Sus scrofa: one gene and its partners. The protein of the gene in region 3 interacts with the protein of the main gene of each other region in a pairwise test. Links are inferred from orthologs where the notes say so. Each region holds a gene or a part of one and is shown on either strand. Other genes may lie near its edges.

The links. The genes of interacting proteins can lie anywhere in the genome.
Region 1: the proteins of GRAMD2B (region 3) and CD207 interact in binary tests that used the Homo sapiens proteins (3 or more experiments, as listed by UniProt). The two-hybrid records come from large-scale screens. The link is inferred for Sus scrofa from reciprocal best matches to the Homo sapiens genes GRAMD2B and CD207.
Region 2: the proteins of GRAMD2B (region 3) and TMEM43 interact in binary tests that used the Homo sapiens proteins (3 or more experiments, as listed by UniProt). The two-hybrid records come from large-scale screens. The link is inferred for Sus scrofa from reciprocal best matches to the Homo sapiens genes GRAMD2B and TMEM43.

Annotation. Positions count from the first base shown.
Region 1 is NC_010445.4:71,666,811-71,671,038, reverse strand, and holds the start of CD207 (C-type lectin domain family 4 member K), read right to left. Parts: upstream 2,807-4,228; 5' UTR 2,783-2,806; coding exon 2,707-2,782; intron 2,610-2,706; coding exon 2,493-2,609; intron 552-2,492; coding exon 177-551; intron 1-176. UniProt on the Homo sapiens protein: Calcium-dependent lectin displaying mannose-binding specificity. Induces the formation of Birbeck granules (BGs); is a potent regulator of membrane superimposition and zippering.
Region 2 is NC_010455.5:70,414,408-70,418,554, forward strand, and holds the start of TMEM43 (transmembrane protein 43), read right to left. Parts: upstream 2,807-4,147; 5' UTR 2,582-2,806; coding exon 2,570-2,581; intron 1-2,569. Other genes in the region: CHCHD4 (mitochondrial intermembrane space import and assembly protein 40), read left to right, coding at 3,091-3,112. UniProt on the Homo sapiens protein: May have an important role in maintaining nuclear envelope structure by organizing protein complexes at the inner nuclear membrane. Required for retaining emerin at the inner nuclear membrane.
Region 3 is NC_010444.4:129,509,866-129,513,927, forward strand, and holds the start of GRAMD2B (GRAM domain-containing protein 3), read left to right. Parts: upstream 1-1,206; 5' UTR 1,207-1,352; coding exon 1,353-1,480; intron 1,481-4,062.

The sequences.
Region 1 (4,228 bases), on a different chromosome or scaffold from region 3:
CTGAACAGCCCCTACGTCCTCCCCAACCCCAACACTGAGTCCTCTCTTCTTAACTTTCCAGCCACGTCTACTCTGTTGCCCTCCCCCTCCCTCCACACACCATCCCAGTGGCTTTATGCCTGAGACCAGCCAGGTCCAACTGGTCAGCTTGGAGCGGTCCTTTCTGAGTCACTTACTTTGCTGTTTGAGCATCTTGCTGATATTTCCCAAGCCACTCTGGAGGTCCCAGACCTTTGCATTTAAAGCACTGGCTTTATCCAAATCTCTTTTTAACTCTGGGATTTGGGCATTTAACTTATCGACTTCTTCCCAACTACTTGTTAGCTTCTGCAGCCGTGCATCAGCTTCCTTCACACTGATTTCCAACCTCTGGATCTGAGAACGCACATGATCCAGGCTGGCATTCACCATCCGGACCTGAACGCCAGCCGCCTCCACACCACCGCTGTTCCTCTTGATTTCGGAACTCAGGGTGCTGATGTTGTCCACACGACCTTGCAGCAACTGGGCACTGGTCTTGACATCTGACATTGTGCCCATAAACCAAGGATCTGGATTTGAGAAAGTCAGGAGGTCGGTCAGCCAAGGGGATCCCCAGGGACTGGAGAGGGGGTTGCCAGGGTGAGAAAAGGGAAGGAAGGGAAGTGACAGGCCCAAGTTTCCCAAGGACCCAACCCAAGGAGTGGTTGCCTACCCTCCATTCATTCATAATTTATTCACTCAACAAACATGCGATGGGCACCTTCCATGTGCCAGGAATTCTGGGGGATGCAGATACTGCAGTTAATAAATAATAAATTTATTATTATTAAATAATTAAGAAATCACGGGCGCTCTGGTAAAGGGCCTCACAGGTAGGCAGAAGTGGGAATTTGATTGTCTTCTAAATTTGCTTTGAGTTTTTAAGGCACATTTGGTAAAAGGATGCCATTAATCGCCCCCTTGTCACCCTTCCCACATCACTCTGGGAACCATCCCTTGATTCCCAGTCTGCCCCTTTCAGAGACCCTGCATCAGCCATCAGCTAGGGTAGCACCACCCCTCCCATGACTGCCCACAGGTCCCACATGGCCATGGGAGGACCAGCCATGGAGACTTCTCATGTGGAAGTGACTTCTCCAAAGAGGGAGAGTTAAGAAATCATTTCTCCCTGATCCCAGTCCCTGTCACACTCTGCTCAGGTCACAGGCTCAGGTGTCATAGAGGAAACCAAAAGTAAACCAAGTGGGCTTGAAGCAGAGCAGACTCTGCTCAGAACCTCCAAGTCCAGAGTTCCCATTGTGGCTCAGCAGAAACAAACCCAACTAGTATCCATGAGGATTTGGGTTCAATCCCTGGCCCCCCTCAGTGGGTTAAGGATTTGGCATTGCCATGAGCTGTGGTGTAGTTCACAGACACGGCTCAGATCTGGGGTTGTTGTGGCTGTGGCATAGGCCAGCAGCTGCAGCTCCAATTTGACCCCTAGCCTGGGAACTTCCATGTGCTGCAGGTGCAGCCCTTGAAAAAAAAAAAAAAAAAAGAGGAGGTCGGGAGTTCCAGTCGTGGCGTAGTGGTTAACGAATCCAACTAGGAACCATGAGGTTTCGGGTTCAGTCCCTGCCCTTGCTCAGTGGGTTAAGGATCCGGCGTTGCCGTGAGCTGTGGTGTAGGTCGCAGACGCGGCTGGGATCCCGTGTTGCTGTGGCTCTGGCGTAGGCTGGCAGCTGCAGCTCCAATTAGACCCCTAGCCTGGGAACCTCTATATGCCGCGGGAGCGGCCCAAGAAATGGCAAAAAGACAAAAACAAACAAACAAAAAAAAACCTCCAAGTTCAAGACCAAATGTGCCCTGGGACCTAGAAGGGAGAAGACAAACACTCCCTCCCTCTGGAGACCCAGGGTGAGGAAGAAGCTTCTACAAGCAGCAGAGGCCATGGAGCTTAGCAAAGCCAGAGAGGAAAATAAGTCACACAGCCAATGAAGAGCAGGAGGTCTCCCTTGAACGACCTTCTTGGGAATGGGAGAATGGAGAGAGCGCAACAGGGTCCTGATGAGGGGGCAAACCAGGGAGATGTATTGTCCTGTCGGCCAGGTTCAGGTGGGGCTGATGATACAGTGAGGACTCCATCCCTTGTGGGGTCAGTAAACGTTTTGCTCACTTTTGAGTCTGTCCCTAAACCTCTGAATGGAAGGGACACAGAGCTCAGAGAGGGAGGAGAAAATGACAGGGGATGAAGATGGGTGAACATTTCCTGGGGTCAAAACAGCATATCCTTGAGCCCGAGCGTGCTGATCCCAGTCAGGAAAACCTCCCTGGAATTGCAGAGGAAGGAGCAGCAGCTGATCTTACTGGGAATGGGGGACTCTCTGACTGCACGTGACAAGAGGGCGAATAAGACAAATGAGAAAGCCATTGGGGAGGGGCACCAGCGAGCAGGGGAGAGAGGGTCTGGATGTCGAGGGAGCCGGCTGGCCGAGGGGAAGGGCCGAGGGCATTCAGGGCTGAGGACTTACAGAGAATGGCCTGCAGCAGGATGGAGGCGACCAGGACCAGCGTCAGCAAGACCACGGCAGCTCGGACTGTGAGACACCGCCCCAGAACCAGATACGGACCCGTCTTGGGAGGAGGCTCTGCAGGAAGAAGAAGAGAAGGTTTGTTGCAGGACCAGCAAAGATTGGGTTTGGGTGCAGCGCCCTGGGCAGGCTCGGTATGGTAGCTGCTGCTTGCCTCGGGGCCATAGGGAGATGTTCTGTTTGTCTACAGTGAAGTGCGCATCATGGACCTCGCTCTCCACAGCCTTCATCCTGCACGCTCCAACTCAAGGCACAGGTGCTCCCAGCTGGCTGTCTCCCCAAGGACTTTTATCCAGAGGAAAAGGGAAGTGAGTCCCACCAGAGGTCATTGTGTCATCTCAAAGTTCCCCATTCCTAGTTTAGGCACCTTGCCTGCCCTAAGCCACAGCTCAATCTTCTCCTCCAAGGTCTGAGTTCTCAGGAAAAGGCCATTTGTCATCATCTCTGGGGGCCTGTTACATGGACACCTTAACATCCTGTCCTCAGGAGAAGATTTTTCTCTTATAAGATGACCCTCAGAGTTCCTGTCGGGGCTCAGCAGTAACAAATCCAACTAATAGCCTTGAGGATGCAGGTTCGATCCCTGGCCTCGCTCTGTGGGTTAAGGATCCGGCGTTGCCATGAGCTGTGGTGTAGGTGGCAGACGCAGCTCAGATCCCGCGTTGCTGTGGCTGTGGCATAGGCTGGCAGCTACAGCTTCAATTTGACCCCTAGCCTAGGAATTCCCCCCCCAAAAAAAAAAGATGAGCCTCATCTATCAGTCAGCCAGCCATTCATCCCACAAATATATATCGAGCGCCTTCCAGAGACCAGGCACTGAGCCACGGAGGCAACTCCCAGTCTTTGCACTCAAAGATCTGAGCAAATAAATTATGATACAGGGATGAGTGTAACAATGAAAGAACATGCACAGTTTAGAGAGTGGCATAATGGCAAAGAGTTCCAGGTAGAGGGATCAGCACATTCAAAAGTATGGGTGCAGAAGATGCCCTAAATGCCTGGTGCATTGTGAGTAGTTTGATGCTGCTGGAGTATGAATTATATGACAGGAATAAGGAGGTCATGGGCTAAGGAGGCACCTGGAGTCAGAGCATAAAGATCCTTTGGGTAGTATTAAGGAGCTTGACCTCTGGCTTATAGGTGATGTGGAGCCAGTGAAGGACTTCAGGCAGGAGAAAGACAAGGACAGGAACTTGAAGAAAGATTTCTCTGATTATGGTGGGGAGCAGAGATCGGGGTGTGGAGAGACTGGAAGCAGGGAGCCCAGTAAGGGGACCACCACAAATAAAATACTTTGCGTTAAGGCATCTTAGATGATACAATATCCCTTTATAAAATGGGGCTTGGAGAGTCAAAATGTAAATCTAAGGTTTGAGTACTCCTCTCTGCTTTCCGAACTCGTGAGTCTCTCAAAGTGGGAAGCTCAGCAACATCAGACCAGGAGCTGTTCTTCCATTCATGGGAGAGGCTCAAGACAGAAAGGCGCTGATCTGGGGCTCAACGAAGGATTGAGTTTTCTCCTGGGCTTCTTCTCATACTTTGAAGAAGTCTGCAAAATCTGAGAAACCTAGCATATAACAGATTCTAAACAAATTCTTCTTGGAAGGTAGGAAAGAGAGGAGGGAAGAGAGGAAGAAAGAGATGGAGGGAAAGAGAGGGAAGGAGAAAAGAAAAGA
Region 2 (4,147 bases), on a different chromosome or scaffold from region 3:
ATCAGCTTTCTCCATCACTGGTACCAAGGCTGGGCTGAGCTGACAAAAACGACAAAGATGTAAGTGGTTCCCAGATGAGCAATGAGAACGAGCTAGCCCATCCTGGCACTGGGGGTGGGGCAGGATGAGATTCAAGTTAGTCTCCATTTGAACAAAGCTGATGCCGTGTTCTTTGACTGTCTCTGAATGCCACCAGCCCAGGCCTGCTAGGCACCACTTGTCCTGTGTTCAGAAATGGTCTTGACCTTCCAGGCCATTTGGAAACATTAGTGGAGCAATTTGCTGCAGGCAGGAGGGGACCATCAACCATCATAACGATGACAATGGCAAACACTCCAGTCTATCACATGGACAAGCCCAAGGAGAGGGTGCTATCACGACCCCATTGCACAGATGAGAAAACAAACTGAGGCTCAGCAGTTACATCACCAGGCGAGATCACACAGCCTCTAAGAAGTGGACTTAGGATTCACACCTGGGCAGGCTGGAGGCCACTTTCCTGTTACCCTGCTCTGGACTGCATTCCTAACTTCTCGGGTCATAACAGGAGTTGAACACTAGGAGCCGGCTGCAGGCAGCACAGGATAGCAAAAGAAATCAGCCCCATTACCACCTGTGCAACCCCACCTTGGGGGTGGGAAGACCTAGCTTCTTCCTGGGCCTCCCCTCAGCACATACCTAGGAGCTGACTTCAAGATAAGGGGCTCGAAGATGGCTGTAAAGGAAAGGAAGAAAGTGCCCCTCAGGCTGGGAGCAGCATGGCATGCCCAGCTCACACTCTGAACCAAATTCCCAGCAAATGTGGATGGTCATGGAGATTTCCTCCCTGCCTGCTCCCCACTCACTACTCCAGGATCAGAAGCAATGAGCAGTGAGCTGTGGGAAGAGCTCTGCATCTGGGCCCTGAAAATCACCCGCTGTGTACCCCTGGGTAAGCTGCTCCACCTCTCTGCTCTGGTTTGCTCATTTGGAATGGAGATGGTAACCGTATCAACGGACGGCTGTTTCAGTGAAGAAGAATTCTGCTGCCTCCCTGCTCCACCCCACCATCTTCCTTCTTCCTCACATGGCTTGATGCCCCCAAATGTGGACCGCATTGCTGGGTGAATCAACAAAGACTTGGCAGCAGAGGATACCCACATTCATTTACATTCCTTGACAAAGGTCAGGATACCAACATACCCAAGATGGTCTCTGTCCACTAGGACTGTGCGGATAAACTCTACTTTTTTTTTTTTTTTTTAATGTATTAAGTACGAACCTATAGTGCATTAAGTGTGTTAAGCATGGTTTTCCTTTAAATTTCAGGTTAACTGATCCTATGAGGAAACATAAACCTCAAGAGATTAAGACCACTTGTCAGCCCGACTCCAAAGCCTGCTACGCTCACCCAAGATGTAGCCTGCCAGGCTGGCTCTGCAACCCTGGGCAGGGCCTTTCTCTGCTGGGAAAGTTCCCTATCTGTAAAGTGGTCATTATGGAGGGGGGGCTGGCGGTCTCCTGACTGCGCTCTGCCGAGGGAAGACCCTGGGTCTCCCGGACCACCTCTGAGGCTTTTCTAGGTGCTTTTTCAAAGGCTTCTTGGCCTCCCAGACAATGCAAACTCAGGCAAAGTGTGCTGGGGCTGTGGGTGAGGCAAACCCTGGCTTCTCAGGGGGTGTGGAAGGCAGAGAGGACCTTGGGGACAGAGGAAGGGCCTGTTAAGAGGGTGTGAAAGGCCAAGAGAGAGAGTGGTTAGGACATGCCACCAAAGCAGGAGGGAGGGAGTGCCTCAGCTGGCTGGGCTCCGAGCTGGCACCAGAGGCACTTTTGCAGAAGACAGGAACATGAGTCACCAGCTTCTCCCACACCCAGCACCCTGTTGGCAGGTGCCCCTCGGTTTGTTGAATGAATGTGGGGCTTAAATAGAAAGGTTCCTCAGAAAAGCAGGGAGAAAAGCAGCTGCCTTTCCAAGGGCACCGCCCTCAGCCAGGGCCTTTCCAACCAAGCCAAAGCCAGGAAGACGAGGGGCCAGCAGTAGGGAAATGCTCCCTCTCCCAGTCATGCTAACTCCTCTGCTCCAAACTAGTCTGCCCCTCTGCACAACATCAGAGCCTTGGTTTACATACTCCCTGGAGCGGGGACCTCAGTGCCTGCTAGGACAGTGCGTTTCTGGACAGCTTCACCAGGGCGATATCTGCCTCCCCACACACCCCATGGGGGACTCCTGTCTGAAGTCCCGTCCAACTCTCAAGTCCGCAAATGTGAGAATCCCAAAGGCGCAGGCGGGAACCGAGAAGGAAAGAAGGAGCTGCGCGGAGGCGCCGCACATAAGCGGACCCGGAGACAGAGCCACACCTCCAGAGGTTGCGTCTCTACCACCACGCGCCCCCGAGGAGGACGTGGACCACCGGGTGCTGACCGCACGTACGGACGACCTGGCTGCCCTGCCGGAAGGAGCGGACCCGGGAGCGAGAGGGAGGAAGGGCCGGCTGCACGGAGGCGGTTAGCCGCACAAGGGGCTACGGCGGGCGGCCGGGAGAGTGGACGAGGCAGCCTGGGTGTGGCCGGCGAAGCCGGGGACACTCACGTTCGCAGCCATGGCAGGATCCGGTCACCGCCCGCCTCACTCGGCTCAGCAAGAAAACGGACTTACGGCTGCACCACGGAATCCCGCCACCTCTCGACAGCCAGATGGCGGCCAAAAGGCGCGGGAAGCCCGGAGCCCTAGGATGCGCTACAGAGCAACGCCCCGCAAGCCGCGGTTTTTCTGCTCTCGCCCGCCGCGCCTCCTCCTGGGAAACGTAGTCTGGTGCCCTCTCCGGAAGTTGCAACCTACCCGGTACCTCACTGGTGCACCTGCGCATTGCAGGTCATTCTGGGAATTGCAGTTCCTTCTGTCTAGGGAGTTGCTCGGCGGCGCGCGGCCTGCTGGGAAATGTAGTTCCCGGTTGAGAAGGCCGGGCTAGGAGCTCCGAGGCAGGCGCGCGGAGGGCAGGCCTGGAGGGGGCGGGTCCGCACGGGCCTCCCAGCCGCCCGCCTCGCCGGGGAGAGGTCACGGCGTGAGGCAGCCACCGCGATCACCGCGAGGTTGGAGCGCCGGGCTGCACTATGGCCTACTGCCGGCAGGAAGGTAGGAGGGCGGGGTACCTAGAGACGGCCTACGAGGGCCTGCAGGGAACAGGCGGATTGTGCGGCCCCCGCGCCCCACCACTGGTGCGGAAGATAGTCCTCGGACCCTTGCGTCGGGTCTCCATCCCCGCTTTACAGATGGGCAGCGGGGAGAAGCGAGGCGGTCCAAGGTCACCGTGAGGCTCGAACCCGGACGTCTGAGGGACCACCACGTGAGAGAGCTCTTAAATTAGGCCTGGGGGTCGGAGGAGTGCGAGCGCGCTGCCGCTGGCTCCTAACGGAGAGTTTATAGGTATTAATTGTTACTATGGCGCTTACCCACACCACGTGTTCCGGTTTGCGCCGCCCGTCAACAGTCCTGGAAAGTCGCCCTCGGCGTGCTCTGTGCTGCGGCGTGGAGTACCGCCCGAGGGGACCGGTCAGGCGCTGGTGCGCCCTAAGCCAGGCCCTGTTCATTTCCCGAGAGTAAACAGCGACCCAGAGGTGACTAGGCTAATGCCATGATGCCGGCAAGTCCGGAAGCTGGGGTTGGACCCCCGCGGTCTGATTCCAGAGCTGCCCAGCCTGGTGACCAGTGGATTCCAGGGAGCCTTCCGTTGGGAAGACAACCCCCCAAAAAAACAAAACTAAATAGGTTTCTGTCTATGGTCTCTCTCCTTGTTACCTCTCCTGGAACCCCAGAAGTCTCCAGGCCAGGGGTTCGAGGGCCTCCGCGCACAACCGCTAACTGGCTCTTTGTCCCTGAGCTGTCACCCAGCCCCTCCAAGGCCCAGTGTTCAGTCTTGTAAAATGAGAAGTAGGCCTTCCTTCCTTCTCCACATATTCATGAAGCACCTTTTTAGTGCCAGGTGAGGGTGATGGTGAACACCTGAGACTTTAAAGCTCCAGAGAGAGCTGGAACTCTCCCTGAAATTCTTTAATGAATAGTCTAGCTCCCTCAGGTCATTGAGGGACCCTTAAGCCCAGAGATGGAGGTGATCTACCCAAGGTCATGCTTAGGTAGGAAAACAGCTCAATCTAAAATGCTAGGCCTTTC
Region 3 (4,062 bases):
CTAGTAACACTGGTGAAAAACTGATGTTTTTCTTGTGCATAAACAGTCAGTGATTAAAGATCGTCGCAAAGGAAATTCACTTCCCCTCTTGCTTTTATTAGGGTTCCTCATAACTATAATGATAATACAGAGAATATTCTCCTATGTGATTTCATCCTAGTCTTGGAAGAAATGCGAGGCTAACACCACACTCACCAGGACTGGCATCACCTGTGGTTATGCAGCCAAAAGCAAAGGATGGAGCCCAAACCCTTGCTTCCTAGGTTTTTTGTTTTTTAATTGGAGCATGGTTGACTTACAACGTTGTGTTAGTTTCAGGTGTACAGCAAAGCGAACCAGTCGTACATATAAATATATCCATTTTTTTCCCATATAGGATGTCATAAACAATTGAGTAGATTTTCCTGTGCTCTGCAGTACATTGTTGTTAATCATCTATTTTATACAGTCGTGTGTATATGTTATTCCTACCATCCCAACTGCTCCCTTCCCTCAATGGTTTCCTCTGTGGTAACCATAAGATTGGTTTTGAAATCTCTGAGTTTGTTTCTGTTTTATAAATAAGTTCTTGGTATCATTTTACTCCACTCCACGTATAATTGATATCGTATGATATTTGTCTTTCTCTGTCTGATGTATTTCACTTCGTAGGATAATCTCTAGGTCCATCCATGTGGCTGTGCCTAGTGTTTTTTTATTTGTCTTTGTTGCATCACCTTTTTGGTACAAGGCACAACCTCCTGTAACCAGCAAAATACACAACCTGAATAGTGAGGTTCCCCTAACTTGTACACCTGGCTTCCATGAGAACCCCAGAACTCTTCAACTTCTAAGGACCAAGCAGCGCAGCCTTAAGGCTTCTGTGTGTTTTACCAAACGTGGGCTGGTTAGTTTCTGTGTGTGTAAAGGCATAAAGCACATCCACATTCCTTGCCCTGCTGATCAGGCTCTGGGAGTTAAAGAAAGCATCCCAGCTTTCTATGTTTAGATGCTGCTAGTCTCTGCACCTTGTTGTTTGAAGTCTTTTACTTTTCCATAGACTTTTCTGCCTAAATTCAGAGTCATATGGTGTTCATGTTAGTAAACCGAAAGCTGTTTTTCCCAAACACGTTTATTTTTCCTTTGGAGCAAATGTGAGTAGGATGAAAACCACTCTGTGTCATACTTACATGTTACTCATTAACTGACTTCAGAAAAAATCGCCTCAGCTAGATTAGGAGTCATGTGAAGAAAGAGCTTCCTGCAATGTGAGAATTGAGCAAGGCTGAAAGGCAGAGACTTTCACGTTACTGGGGAGGAGGAGAAATGAGCCCTTGAGTTTATTTCTCGGCGTAGCGATTGACAAGGGCACAATGGTGAAAAAGAGGCTGTCGTCATCCAGCGACACGACGTGGAGGTCTGAGGTTCCGGGCGGCCCGAGCAAGGTGGGCACCGAGGCCCCGCACAGCGCCCCTGACAGCCCCGGCTCGGTGTTTCTCAGGTGAGTACATCCCACCTGCCTCTGCAGGTGTTGCTTGGAGAGTTCCTTCCTCCGGAGGATTTGACCAAGGAGAAAGAGAAGGCACAACCAGGCGCATGGGCGGGTGGGTTTCAAGGAGATTCACAGCAAAGGATGTGATGTGCTGAGCAAATAGAACTCTTCACCACCATGAAGGGATAAAAGTTGTTAGTGCCTTCTTTAGTACTTTTTAGTCCTGGAAACCTGGCCGGCTATGTCGTTACTCAATGCCTTACCCACTCTCAGGTTCACAGACAGTGAAGTCAAAGAGTTAAACTAGGGAAGGGGTAGGGAGAGGGGTGGACTAGGAGTCTGGGGTGAGTAGATGCATATTATTACATTTACAAAGGATAAACAGTAAGGTCCTACTGTATAGCACAGGGAACTCTATCCAGTCTCCTGGGATACATCATGAAGGAAAATAATATTAAAAAGAACATATATATATATATATCTACATATATATCTGAGTCACTTTTCTATACAGCAGAAATTGCCACAACACTGCAAATCAACTATAATTTAAAAAACAATTTAAAAAATAGTTAAACTAAAAACCTCACTTGGATGGACAATTACTGTATTCCTATCGAAATAGTAATGTATTAAAAATATTAAAATAATCTCCCTCTTTTGAGCTTTCTAAATTAAATATTAAAATAGTATTAGCTGTGCTCTCGTTCAACTACTTGCTGTAAGTGATTTGTAGCAGCTTTGACTAGATTCAGAACATGTCTTTTTTTGGCTGTAAATATTAATATCCACATCATCACCACTCTGATAATTACATATTTCTAATGAAAATTCACTTAGGTATTCTTCATTTTGTCTCTTAATAATTCTATGGCAACTTGTACAATACAAAAATCAACTGCAAGTGGAAATAAATAACAAGAAAAACTTCCTCATCCAGCTTTGTTTTTTAAATTGAGGTATAGTTGATTTACAATATTAGTTTCAGATATATAACATAATGATTCAAACTTTTATAGATTTTACTTTCACTTTGCTGCAAACTTTTTTTCTAATGAAAGAACTTTAGGTGATGACATTACATAAGTTTTGTGTTTACAACATTATATTTCTTTCTATATTGTCAAGGTCTAAACAACAAAAATTTGCTTTTCTAATGTTGTAAACTTTGATGTCACTTTCACGTAAACTTACCAAGTCAAGCCGGATGAATAACCTCCACGCTGAAACTTCGCTTTAACATAGTACCATGTTAGAAAGTCGATCATTTATTTTTAATCATTTCTGCAAAAAAGTGCTCAACATTATAGCTTTTTAAAATCAAGTAGAAAACTAAGAAATCTCACTGCATTTAATAGATGTCACCTATCAAACTGTCCGGTGAGGAAAATAAATTCAATAGTCGATAATTTTTTTAAAGAGGTGTTAGGGACCAAGAGTCTGAATCTATGAAAAATGTTTCTTAGTAAATCTATCTAACGTTGGCCTAATGTTTCCATCCCTCATTAAAATGACTCTACCTAACTTACGTTGTGGTCGGTTGAGCAAGAGCACAATTCCTATGATTGAAATGTAAAACTCTTGCATTATTTCCATATTTTGCTGAAGTTTGGGTGTTTCTTAAATCAGTTCATCTCCTTCATCCTTTTCTTATGTTGACTGTAATGCAGACTCTTCTTAGAGCTTAAGTTCTAACCAGGAAAAATACTATTAAATTAAAATACATAAAAATACTTTTAAAATGATAAAGTATACAAAGTATAATTTAAATAAATATTATACATATGATTTAAATAAGTACAGGTAAATAAATGGAATAAAAATAAAATAAAAACCTATATCAACGCAAATTCAAGAACCCTCTTTAAAAAGAGCCCAGGCCTCTTCCACCTGCATATTTGATATATTTCTAAATGTCTTTACAATTTTTAAATGTGTATTAAACCCAATCTAAAACATTACATGTACTTCCAAACAGTTTGACAGTAGATACTGTATGTAAAAATCGTTGAAAATAATTTGTCAGGAGTTTCTGTTGTGGTGCGGCGGAAAAGAATCCAACTAGTATCCATGAGGATGCGAGTGGGTTGGAAATCTGGTGTTGCCCTGAGCTGTGGTTGTAGGTCGCAGATGCAGCTCCGATCCTGAATTGCTGTAGCTGTGGTGTAGGCCGGCAACTGCAGTTCCGATTAGCCCCCTAGTCTGGGAACTTCTATATGCTCTGGGTGCAGCCCTAAAAAGCATTAATTAATTAATCAATTAATTAATTGTTAAAGCTCTCAGGCACGTGTTGGCTAATGATTTGAGGTCAAAAATAAGATAGAAACCAACAAGGACCTACTGTAAAGCCTAAGGAACTATATTCCATACCTTGTAATAACCTATAGGAGAAAAGAATCTGGAAAAGAATATATATACTCATATATATAAACGTATATATATTTGAATCACTTTTCTGTACCCCTGATACTAACACAACATTGTAAATCGACTATACTACAATTTTAAAAAGAACAAATAAAAAGATAAACACTTCCCCTCCCTTCTAAATAAGCATGAAGAACTTATGTGACTGTTTATCCAATTATCCT